Sus scrofa: one gene and its partner. The protein of the gene in region 1 interacts with the protein of each later gene in a pairwise test. Links are inferred from orthologs where the notes say so. Each region holds a gene or a part of one and is shown in the gene's direction. Other genes may lie near its edges.

Region 1 (4,525 bases):
TCCTCTGGCACTTCCTCTTCTGGGGAAACTCTGGAGGAACAACCACTGACTCCCAGGGCCAGAGAGCCCGAGGGCAGGCAGAGGCGCCTTGTCAGTTCCGAGTTAAAGTCCCTCTAGCGAGGGGCGGAGCGCTCTGAGCAGCACAAGGTTAGCTTAGCCCTTCTCTCTGCACCTCCGTCCACCCCCAGGGAAGGCTTACGCAGCGCTGGAGGACCCGGCCGGTCTATTTCAGCAGCCTGGGGTGCCTGGGTTTGAACCCCAACTACCTTGTTCCTGGTGGGCTCAGTCCCTTCAGGACTTTGTGACTGGGTTTCTTCAAACGTGGAAGGATAATATGTAAAGGTACTAACTTCATGAGCTGGTTCGGAGTGAACCGGCCACGGAAAGCCGGGCGCTTGGCACACGGTGAGCACCCAAGCAAAGGACAGTTAGGGGTGAAATCAGCGATCCTGGGGCAGGGACCGGCAGGCTCTCAGGAGGGTGCGGAGGTGCGAGGGGGACGAGGCGGAGGGCGCGGTGCCCTCGACTTTTCACGGGGGAAGCGCTCTGGGGGCCTCCGCCCACCGGAGGGCCTGGGCCTCCCAACCTAGGACGCAGCGCGCGCGCACCGAGCCGTTGCTTTTGAAACCCTCCGCGGAATTCCAGCGCTGGACGGAAAGGGTGTGGGAGCCACCGGCAAGCGAATCGGCCCCAGCTGCCCCGCTGAGACAGCGCTCTTTTAAAGCATTGGGACCCTTCCCGTCGACCCCTAGGGCCGTGGCAGGTGTCTCCGGGGGGGTCGCCAGGGCACTCAACAGTGTTCCTGCAGGCGGAAGAGTAGCCAAGAGAGGGGGGACCCGAGGCGGCAGTGGGCGAGCAAGTGGGGGGGGAGGGGGTAGCGGCCTCTGCCGACCTAGGGACGGTTGGCCCTAGGTGGGAGCGGGGTCCCTGGGAAAGCCAGACGAGAATCCCATGGCAGGCTGCTGGACCCTGGTGCCTAGCACAGTGCCAGGCCCTCACCTGGTCATCCTCCAGGCTTAGCCAGCGATGATGCGCTGAGCCCCAGACACCAAAAGGTGTCAGGGGCTGCTGCGGACGTGTCGCAACGGGGGAGTGCCAGGGACTGTGGGGAGAGCCAGGGACTGTGGGGAGAGCCAGCCCTCCCCTTTCATCTGTTCCCAGATGTCATTCTGCCGGCTCAGGCGCCTGGTTCCTGAGCACAGGGGGATTCTACGGTTACTAAGCTACTGGTTTTTGTTGACTTTTAAATATTTTCTTCTAAGGGAGGGGGTGAGGGGGGCAAAAGTCAGGAAAGAGCAAATAAAAACAAATCAAAATAAGTTCCCCCTCCCTAAAAGAAAGCTGTCATCCAGCCACCACTCATACACACATCGAAGGCCTCTGAACAGAGTCACTTTGCTGGACCAACAGCCAGACAGAACTGACCTGCTTCTGCCCCATCCTCATCTCCCTTTCTGGTGAATGAGGGGTGGTGGTGGATGGTCGCCCTGTTTTCGAGCTCTGGGTGGACAAAGGGGCTTCCAGAAAGAGAGGAAGAGGATGGCCAGTGGGAATGGGCTGGCTTTGTCCTCGGCCCTGGTGGCCAAGCGCCCTTCCGCCCTAGGCCCATTTCCCAGATACATCTGGATCCACCAGGACACACCCCAAGACAGCTTAGACAAGACTTGCCATGAAATCTGGAAGAGAGTTCAGGGCCTGCCTGAGGCCTTGCAGCCCAGGACCTCAAAGGAGCAGCTCTCTGCCCCTGTGGCTGGCACTCCAAGAGACAACGGGCCCAGCTTCCAAGAAGAGTGAGTGTCCCCTTTCATGACCCAGGGGAGGAGGGAGGAGATGAGGGCTCACCCTCCGGGGGAATGTTCTGACCTCTTGTTGAATCTGGCTAAACCCTAAAGGTTGTGTATATTTCCTCTACCCACAATGGTCCTTTTTCCCCGTCTTTATAGGAGCATTGATTGGGGTCCTGAAGTTACCTGGGCAAAGAACCAGACCAGGGCTGTATTGCTGCTGCCTCTGACCCAGCCCACTAAGGGCAATTTCTCATTCCAAGGCATAGGCTACTCAGATGTAGGTCTGAAGACCTTGAAAAGCCACCCTAGCCAAGGCTGAGGGTTAGATGTCCACGGCTTTCCTCAGACGCACAGGGAGATCCTTCTCCCCTCCCACCCCCAAAGGCTAGGCGTTGACACAGATGAGTCTGATGGTTTTAAACCACATCTGGAATTCCCTAATACAGGGAGCAGCTGTCCCATTCAGCCTCCACAGAAGCTGCTGCAAGAGCGCACATCAAAATATTTACTGGGAAGGCATTGACATATTCAGAGGACATAATAGAAAATTAAAGTGCGGGAAGATGGCTGTAAATAGCCCGTTTCCTGGATGGGAAATCCTGTGTCTGGGAAACGCAGAGCTAAATGTTTCTCCACCAGGGCAAAGTTGGGCAGATGTTGTTGGGGATGGATATTAGAAAGGAAAGGGAGCAACAGAGAGGAAGAAGGGACCTCGTTAGGAAGAGCAAGTAAATCCACCGAGTTATTCATGCCACCACTGAGCAGTTGTTTGCTGCTTTGCATCTTCAAAGTGGGCTGCAAACATTAATTAATCCTCCCAGAGTCTCTATGAGGCAGGTATTAGTGTCCCCATTTTACAGATGGATTAGGTGTTAATAATTAAGTGCTAATTAAAGACTAAGCGATAATTAAGTGTTGCCTGTTTCAACACATGCTCCAGCTCTGCTCAGAGATGCTCTGGAGTGAGGGAGCCATTCAGGCAATTATCAGCTGCATCTGGTTTCAGGAATTTCTATGCAAAGTGTAACTGCTCCCCAGTTCTGCGCTACCTGCTGTCCTTTTTTGAGCTCCCTTACTTGCAACACAGGAAGGTGGAAAGCACTTTGGCTGTCATCGCCTCCCTTGCTCCCTGCTCAGCAGGACATGGCTGGGATGGCAATGGCCTATCTACAGCCAAAATCCTGCTATCCGGCCCTCCAGTGCCACCGAGCCCCTCTCCTCTGCCCACCACCATCTGCTCTGGGACAAGGCCTTGGCAGGGGGCCTGTGGGGCTGTGTTCAGCTCTCAGTGGCCAAGGAGCTGATTGTCCACTTTATGGACCAAGGGTCAATGGCAATTTCCAGTCGATGGCACCCTCTCTGCCAGGTCACAGGGAGTTAATGGAGCCAGACTCTAATTCCAGTCTGTGCTTGGCCAAGAAGCGAACTGGCACACCTTTGGCCAGTTGCTTAACTCCCTTTGGCCTTGATTTTCTCATCTGCAAAGTGAGGCTAATATGCCCTGCCTTGTCCACCTCAGAGTTGATAATGAGAATCAAATGTGATGGGAGACAGAAAACTGGAAGCTGCGTTATACCAACGAGGCTGTCCCTAATTGCAGTTCTTGGGGTTCTGGGTTTGGTTGGTGTTTTTGATGGCTTCTATCTGCAGTTTTCACGGGATCCTCATAGACCCTATGGTGCTTCAGGGGCCCTGCTGGAGTCCCAATCCCCACCTCAACCAGAGCTGTTCAGCTTTTAGGGGTTTTATTTACTGAAGTTCTGCGTACTGGCTGCATTTGAAAAAAGGGGTCTGCTATGAGAAAAGAGCGAGGAAACCGTTGCCTTTGATGAATAAGCAATACCATAGTCGTGCAGATATCAACCACGTCAAACACAATGAGCTATTCTTGAAATAAAGGCAGCTGCGATGGTAGAGTCAGATAGCTCTGGTTTCAGATCGCATTTCAGCCCTGTGCCAGCTGCAGGATTTGTTTAATTTATGTGAGCTTCAGTTTCCTCATCTGCCAAATGGAGATGATTACTATGCATTTCTTTGGGTTGTTGGGATGATTAAATGGATATTTAAACATTCCTGGTAATAACTAGGATTTGTAAAAATTCCTTGTAATAATGATGATGATTTCTTTAAGCCCTACAATTATTACATGAAGTGGGTACTATTTTAAACTCCCTCTCTTTTTCCTTTTTGTTATGCAAATGTTCAAACTCATAAAAGAGAATAGTATAGTGAAATGTCTATCAATCAGCTTCATTAATTATTAACTTTGTGCCATTCTTGTTTCAGTTCTTCCCTCCCCTGTTTTTAAATCATACTCTTTTTACAGATGAGGTAACAGGTTTGGAGGGGTTAATTTCCCTTTCAAGAAGTCCTACAATTAGGAAGTAGTGGAGTTTGAGAAAGCAAACCCAGGACCATCTTAGTCATCCATGATAGTGTTGGCTATCTTCCCCTAGAAACAGAGGCATCTTTTTGGAGAGTCAGAATATTGGACAGTCCCATGTTCTGAGTGATCACCCAAGGGTAACAGATTTCAAATTCAGGGAGGGTAGTTATGGGATAACTTCTGGCCCACAAGCTAGCCTCTCAGCCAATCTGTCTACTGTTTAATTTGTAGACCTGGTTTTGGTGATGCTTACTGCTATCAGGATAGCTAGAGAAGTTCTAGAACTCTTGTTAGCCAGATTTTTTTTTTCACTTTGTCTCTATTTATCCTAGAAATCCAGACATCTCAAGTT
Region 2 (4,397 bases), on another chromosome or scaffold:
ACAAGAGTGGGGCCTCTGTGAGACAGATGCTCCAGGCAGAGACAGAACCCTGACCTGAGTTCACCCCTGGCCCTGCCACAAATGTGCTCTGGTTTGGCCTCTGAACCTCTGTAAAATAAAGAGATGGCCTCATCCAGACATCAGAAACTCAGCTGCTTGCAGGGCCAAGCAGATACTATTGATCTGCAAAAAAGGGCAGCATAGATCTGGAGAGGAGGGGGGCAGTCTGGCAAACTGGAGCGAGCACAGCCTGCCCCATATTTTAGTATTCTAAAGTTCTTTATATTAAACTCTCTGTTGGCCAAACCAAACATAGGTATAGGCCCCAAATGGCCCTCAAGCTACCAGTTTGTAATCCCTGGATCTTTTGGAAACTTCCATATCCTTTCTGTTGGAGCCAACATTAGTAATTAAAAAGTAGCTGTGATTCAGAGAGTTCTGTCTGTCCGCTGTCAGTGGGAAGCCCAGCCCTGCCCTTTACCAGTTCTGTGTCTATGGGCAGGTGGTTGGGCTTCTCTGGGTCACAGTTTCCTCCTACGTTAAACAGGGCCAAATCATATCCATTCCCCAACCCCTGCTCCTTTTGGTAGGCCCTAGCTCCAAGCATGACAGCCTCTCCCCTCCTTTCAGGAACAGGCCTTCGAGAGCAGCCAGAAGTACAAAGAGGGGAAGTACATCATTGAACTCAACCACATGATCAAAGACAATGGCTGGGACTGACCCTGGCTCCTGACGCCTGTGGCTCCAGCCCGGCCTGGCCGCCAGGGGGCGCCACGGGCTTGCCTCCATCCGAAGGGAGCTCTGGACCTCAGGGCCCCTGCCGAGGAAGGATCCTGTACATATATTTTATTGCATGCACTGTGACCTTGGTGGGAGATCAGAAGGTGGACAAGGTGGACGACACCCCCGCACCTCCCTGCGATCTGGCTGGCTTGGATCTCGTTTTTAACCCCTTCCTGCCCTGCCTGCCCTATAGACATGGCCTGTGTGCTGCTCTCTTGGCCCCAGTGCGCCATCTGCCCTGTGAACTTCTCCTCCCACCGGGCCCCTCTTACCCCACGCGTGTCTGCTCCCCTTGTTCTGTAGCGTTTGTACATAATAAAACAATGAAGTGGAGACAGCCCAGGCTCACGTGGAATCCGGGAAGGGGGGACTCAAATGCAGACTCCTGTCTCTACAGACCCATTTCCTTCTGGATCCCGGGTGGGGTAGGCACGGCGGTCAAAGCTGAGAACCTTTGCACCTGGGGCTCAGCTATCTTGGCACCCAGGAAGGACCTCACTGCCGGTGGAGATTCCCCGAGCCCACTCTAGCTCGTGAGGCATTGACCTCAGCTGATCTGCATCTTCTCAGCCTAAGAGTTCAGACGCCGCCTAGGGGCTGCTCTCCCGGGAGGCAACGGCGCCGCCGGTTTCACCGCCCTCCTCGTCTCAACTACAACTTCCAGCGGCCACAGCGGCATCTGCCTGTCTCCTTCGCGCGGAACCCAGGCGCTAGGCCTGCTGGGAAGTGTAGTTCCGTGGACTCCCCAGCGCGGGACCTTCTGGGAAACCCAGGTGCTAGCCGTCAAGAGACCGTCGAGCTGCGGGCGTCTCTTAAACTTCTGAGACTCGGCCGAGGGTGGAGGGTTTTCGGAATGGGAACCAAGAAGGACGCCAGGGTTCAGGCCTCAGCTGCGGACTCCTCGAATTCCCCAGTGAGCTCAGGCCGCGTCCCTCCAGCCCTGCTCCTTCCCTCCAGTCATGCTTCGTTCCTCCACATCTCACCCTCCAGGTGAAGGGTGGAGGGGTCACCTGCCAAAAAAGTCTGGGGCGCCAAGGTCTGTGCCAGGACTCCGAGCTCCATCCCTGGGCCCAGGCCCCGCCTCTCAGTAGCTTATCCCTAGCCGGGGCTCCCCCCGTGGGAACGGGGACCAGCTGGCCGGAAGCGCCAAACTGCGTCCCTGTCGAGCCCCGGGGATCAATCAGGCCGAGGAGTTAATTATGTAATGAGGGGGCAGGGGGTCGGGGCTAATGAAGCCTAGGGGGGTGGGGAGGGGAGAAAGGGAGGATACCCAGGTATCCGGCCCCCTCTTGGACCCCTTCCAGGCCCCAGGGGTCTCCACCCCAGCCCAACTCCAGGGCCCCAAAGAGGGGAGGGGCTGTGATCCTGGGTTTGGAAGGGGCTGAGCTGTGAGCTATAAAGCGGGCATCTCTCAGCACCGGGGCACTCTAGGCAGCGTGACCTGAGGCCAGACAGGACTACTCCATGTACCATCCACGGGAGCTGTACCCCTCCCTGGGGCCCAGCTACCGCCTTGGGCCCCCCCAGCCCGGGGCAGATTCCAGCTTCCCGCCTGCCCTGGCAGAGAGCTATCGCTACCCGGGTGAGCATGAGCGGTGGGAGCAGTTCCTGGGCAGGAATTGGGGTGGGGGGCTGTGGCCCTCGGCTGGCTCCTCATTCTCTTCCCATCTCCAGATCTGGACCCTCCCAAACTGGATTGCTTCCTCTCTGGGATTGAAGCTGCTCCCCGCCCTCTGGCTGCGCCCCCACCTCTACCCCCACTGCCCCCAGCCCTGGGCACCGAGCCACCCCCTCCAGCCCCAGAAGCCCTTCATTCTCTCCCTGGAGTCAGCCTGAGCCTGGAGAACCGGGAGCTGTGGAAGGAGTTCAACTCCGTAGGAACAGAGATGATCATCACCAAAGCCGGGAGGTGAGGGGGCTGGGCCAGGGTCAGAGGACCCCGGAGGTGTCCCTGGTGGGGGTCTCTTGGGAAAGGCAGAGGTCCAGGGGATGGGGCTAGGGCTCTTCGTAAGAGTGTGACTATGGCCTGGATCAGGGGTTCTGCACAGGGGGTCATTCTGTGGCAAGGGTCAAGGGTCAGTCTGTGGCATCTGCGGCTGGTTTAGGGACTAACCTATGGCAAGAGTCTTAGGTCATTCTGGGCCAGGGTCGGAAAGTCTGGTTAGGTTATAGGTTAGCGTGTGCCTGGATCAGGGGTCAGTCTGTGGCCAGGGTCAGGATTTCGACTATGAGTGGGGTCAGGCCATTGACCAGCAGCAGGGAAGTCTGGCCAGGATCAGAGGTCAGGATGTGACTAGATCTGGGGTCACCTTGGTGACAGGGATATGGTCTGTGTGTGGGTCTTTATCTAGGCCGAGAACTCAGGCCCTGGCATGATAAGGCCCCTTTTTATTTTCTCTGAAGCAAGTGTCTCCAGCAGCTACAGGTTCTGGTGCTGGAGATCAAGCTGGGGAACACAGGGCTCCTGGGAAGATTTCCGGGGAAAAAAACCGTGTCACTCCTGCTTCTGCAATGGAGTTTGAGGGGCCAGGAGTCAGGAGTCTGGACCTGCTCCTAACCTGCTGTGTGACTCACTGTCCTGTTTCTCATCTGTAAAATGGGATGAGACAAGCTTACGGCCCTAAGATCTGCCCTGGGAGCTCGGATTCCAGGTCCCTTGATTTTCTGTGGCTATGCCGCCTGGCTGGTGCTGTACCCCGGCGGGTAGGTAGCTCCAGGCCTCTCGCGTCCCTTCCTCCGCTCAGGCGCATGTTCCCCGCTTGCCGAGTATCTGTCACCGGCCTGGACCCCGAGGCCCGCTACCTGTTTCTTCTGGATGTGGTTCCGGTGGATGGGGCTCGCTACCGCTGGCAGGGCCGGCGTTGGGAGCCCAGCGGCAAGGCAGAGCCCCGCCTGCCGGACCGCGTTTACATCCACCCCGACTCCCCCGCCACCGGTGCCCACTGGATGCGGCAGCCTGTGTCCTTTCACCGCGTCAAGCTCACCAACAGCACGCTGGACCCCCACGGCCACGTGAGGCCCAGGCTGGGACCCCCCCCGATGGGGGGTGGGGGTGGGGCCGGGGTAGGGAGTCACCCCTGTTTCTTCCCTCCCAGCTGATCTTGCACTCCATGCACAAGTATCAGCCCCGCATACACCTGGTGCGGGCCGCCCAGCTTTGCAGCCAACACTGGGGGGGCGTGGCCTCCTTCCGCTTCCCCGAGACCGCGTTCATCTCCGTGACAGCCTATCAGAACCCGCGGGTGAGTGACCCCGGCGGAGGGGGCGGCGCCCCTGTCCAGGCTGCGGGGATGTTGACTCCGGCTGTGCACCCTCCACCCTCCAGATCACACAGCTGAAGATCGCAGCCAACCCCTTTGCCAAAGGCTTCCGGGAGAATGGCCGAAACTGTAAGAGGTGGGCATCATTCTTTCATTCATTCCCTCACTGATTCATCGCCCACTGTGTGCCAGGCACTGTGCTGGATGCCAGGAACCCGACAGTAAGTAAAAACGTTTATTCACTTATGGAGTCAACAAACATGGAGTTCCCATTGTGGCGCAGCGGAAACGAATCTGACTAGTCAGCATGAGGTTGCGGGTTCGAGCCCTGGCCTCGCTCAGTGGGTGAAGGAT

The links. The genes of interacting proteins can lie anywhere in the genome.
Region 2: the proteins of C6H1orf94 (region 1) and TBX6 interact in binary tests that used the Homo sapiens proteins (3 or more experiments, as listed by UniProt). The link is inferred for Sus scrofa from reciprocal best matches to the Homo sapiens genes C1orf94 and TBX6.

The regions. Positions count from the first base shown.
Region 1 is NC_010448.4:90,439,472-90,443,996, forward strand, and holds the start of C6H1orf94 (uncharacterized protein C1orf94 homolog), read left to right. Parts: upstream 1-1,461; coding exon 1,462-1,790; intron 1,791-4,525.
Region 2 is NC_010445.4:18,274,722-18,279,118, reverse strand, and holds the start of TBX6 (T-box transcription factor TBX6), read left to right. Parts: upstream 1-1,254; 5' UTR 1,255-1,742; coding exon of another isoform or gene 1,743-1,773; exon of another isoform or gene 1,774-1,819; intron 1,820-2,198; 5' UTR 2,199-2,247; coding exon 2,248-2,365; intron 2,366-2,457; coding exon 2,458-2,692; intron 2,693-3,186; exon of another isoform or gene 3,187-3,384; coding exon of another isoform or gene 3,385-3,527; coding exon 3,528-3,795; intron 3,796-3,878; coding exon 3,879-4,025; intron 4,026-4,108; coding exon 4,109-4,179; intron 4,180-4,397. Other genes in the region: YPEL3 (protein yippee-like 3), read left to right, coding at 631-697. UniProt on the Homo sapiens protein: T-box transcription factor that plays an essential role in the determination of the fate of axial stem cells: neural vs mesodermal. Acts in part by down-regulating, a specific enhancer (N1) of SOX2, to inhibit neural development.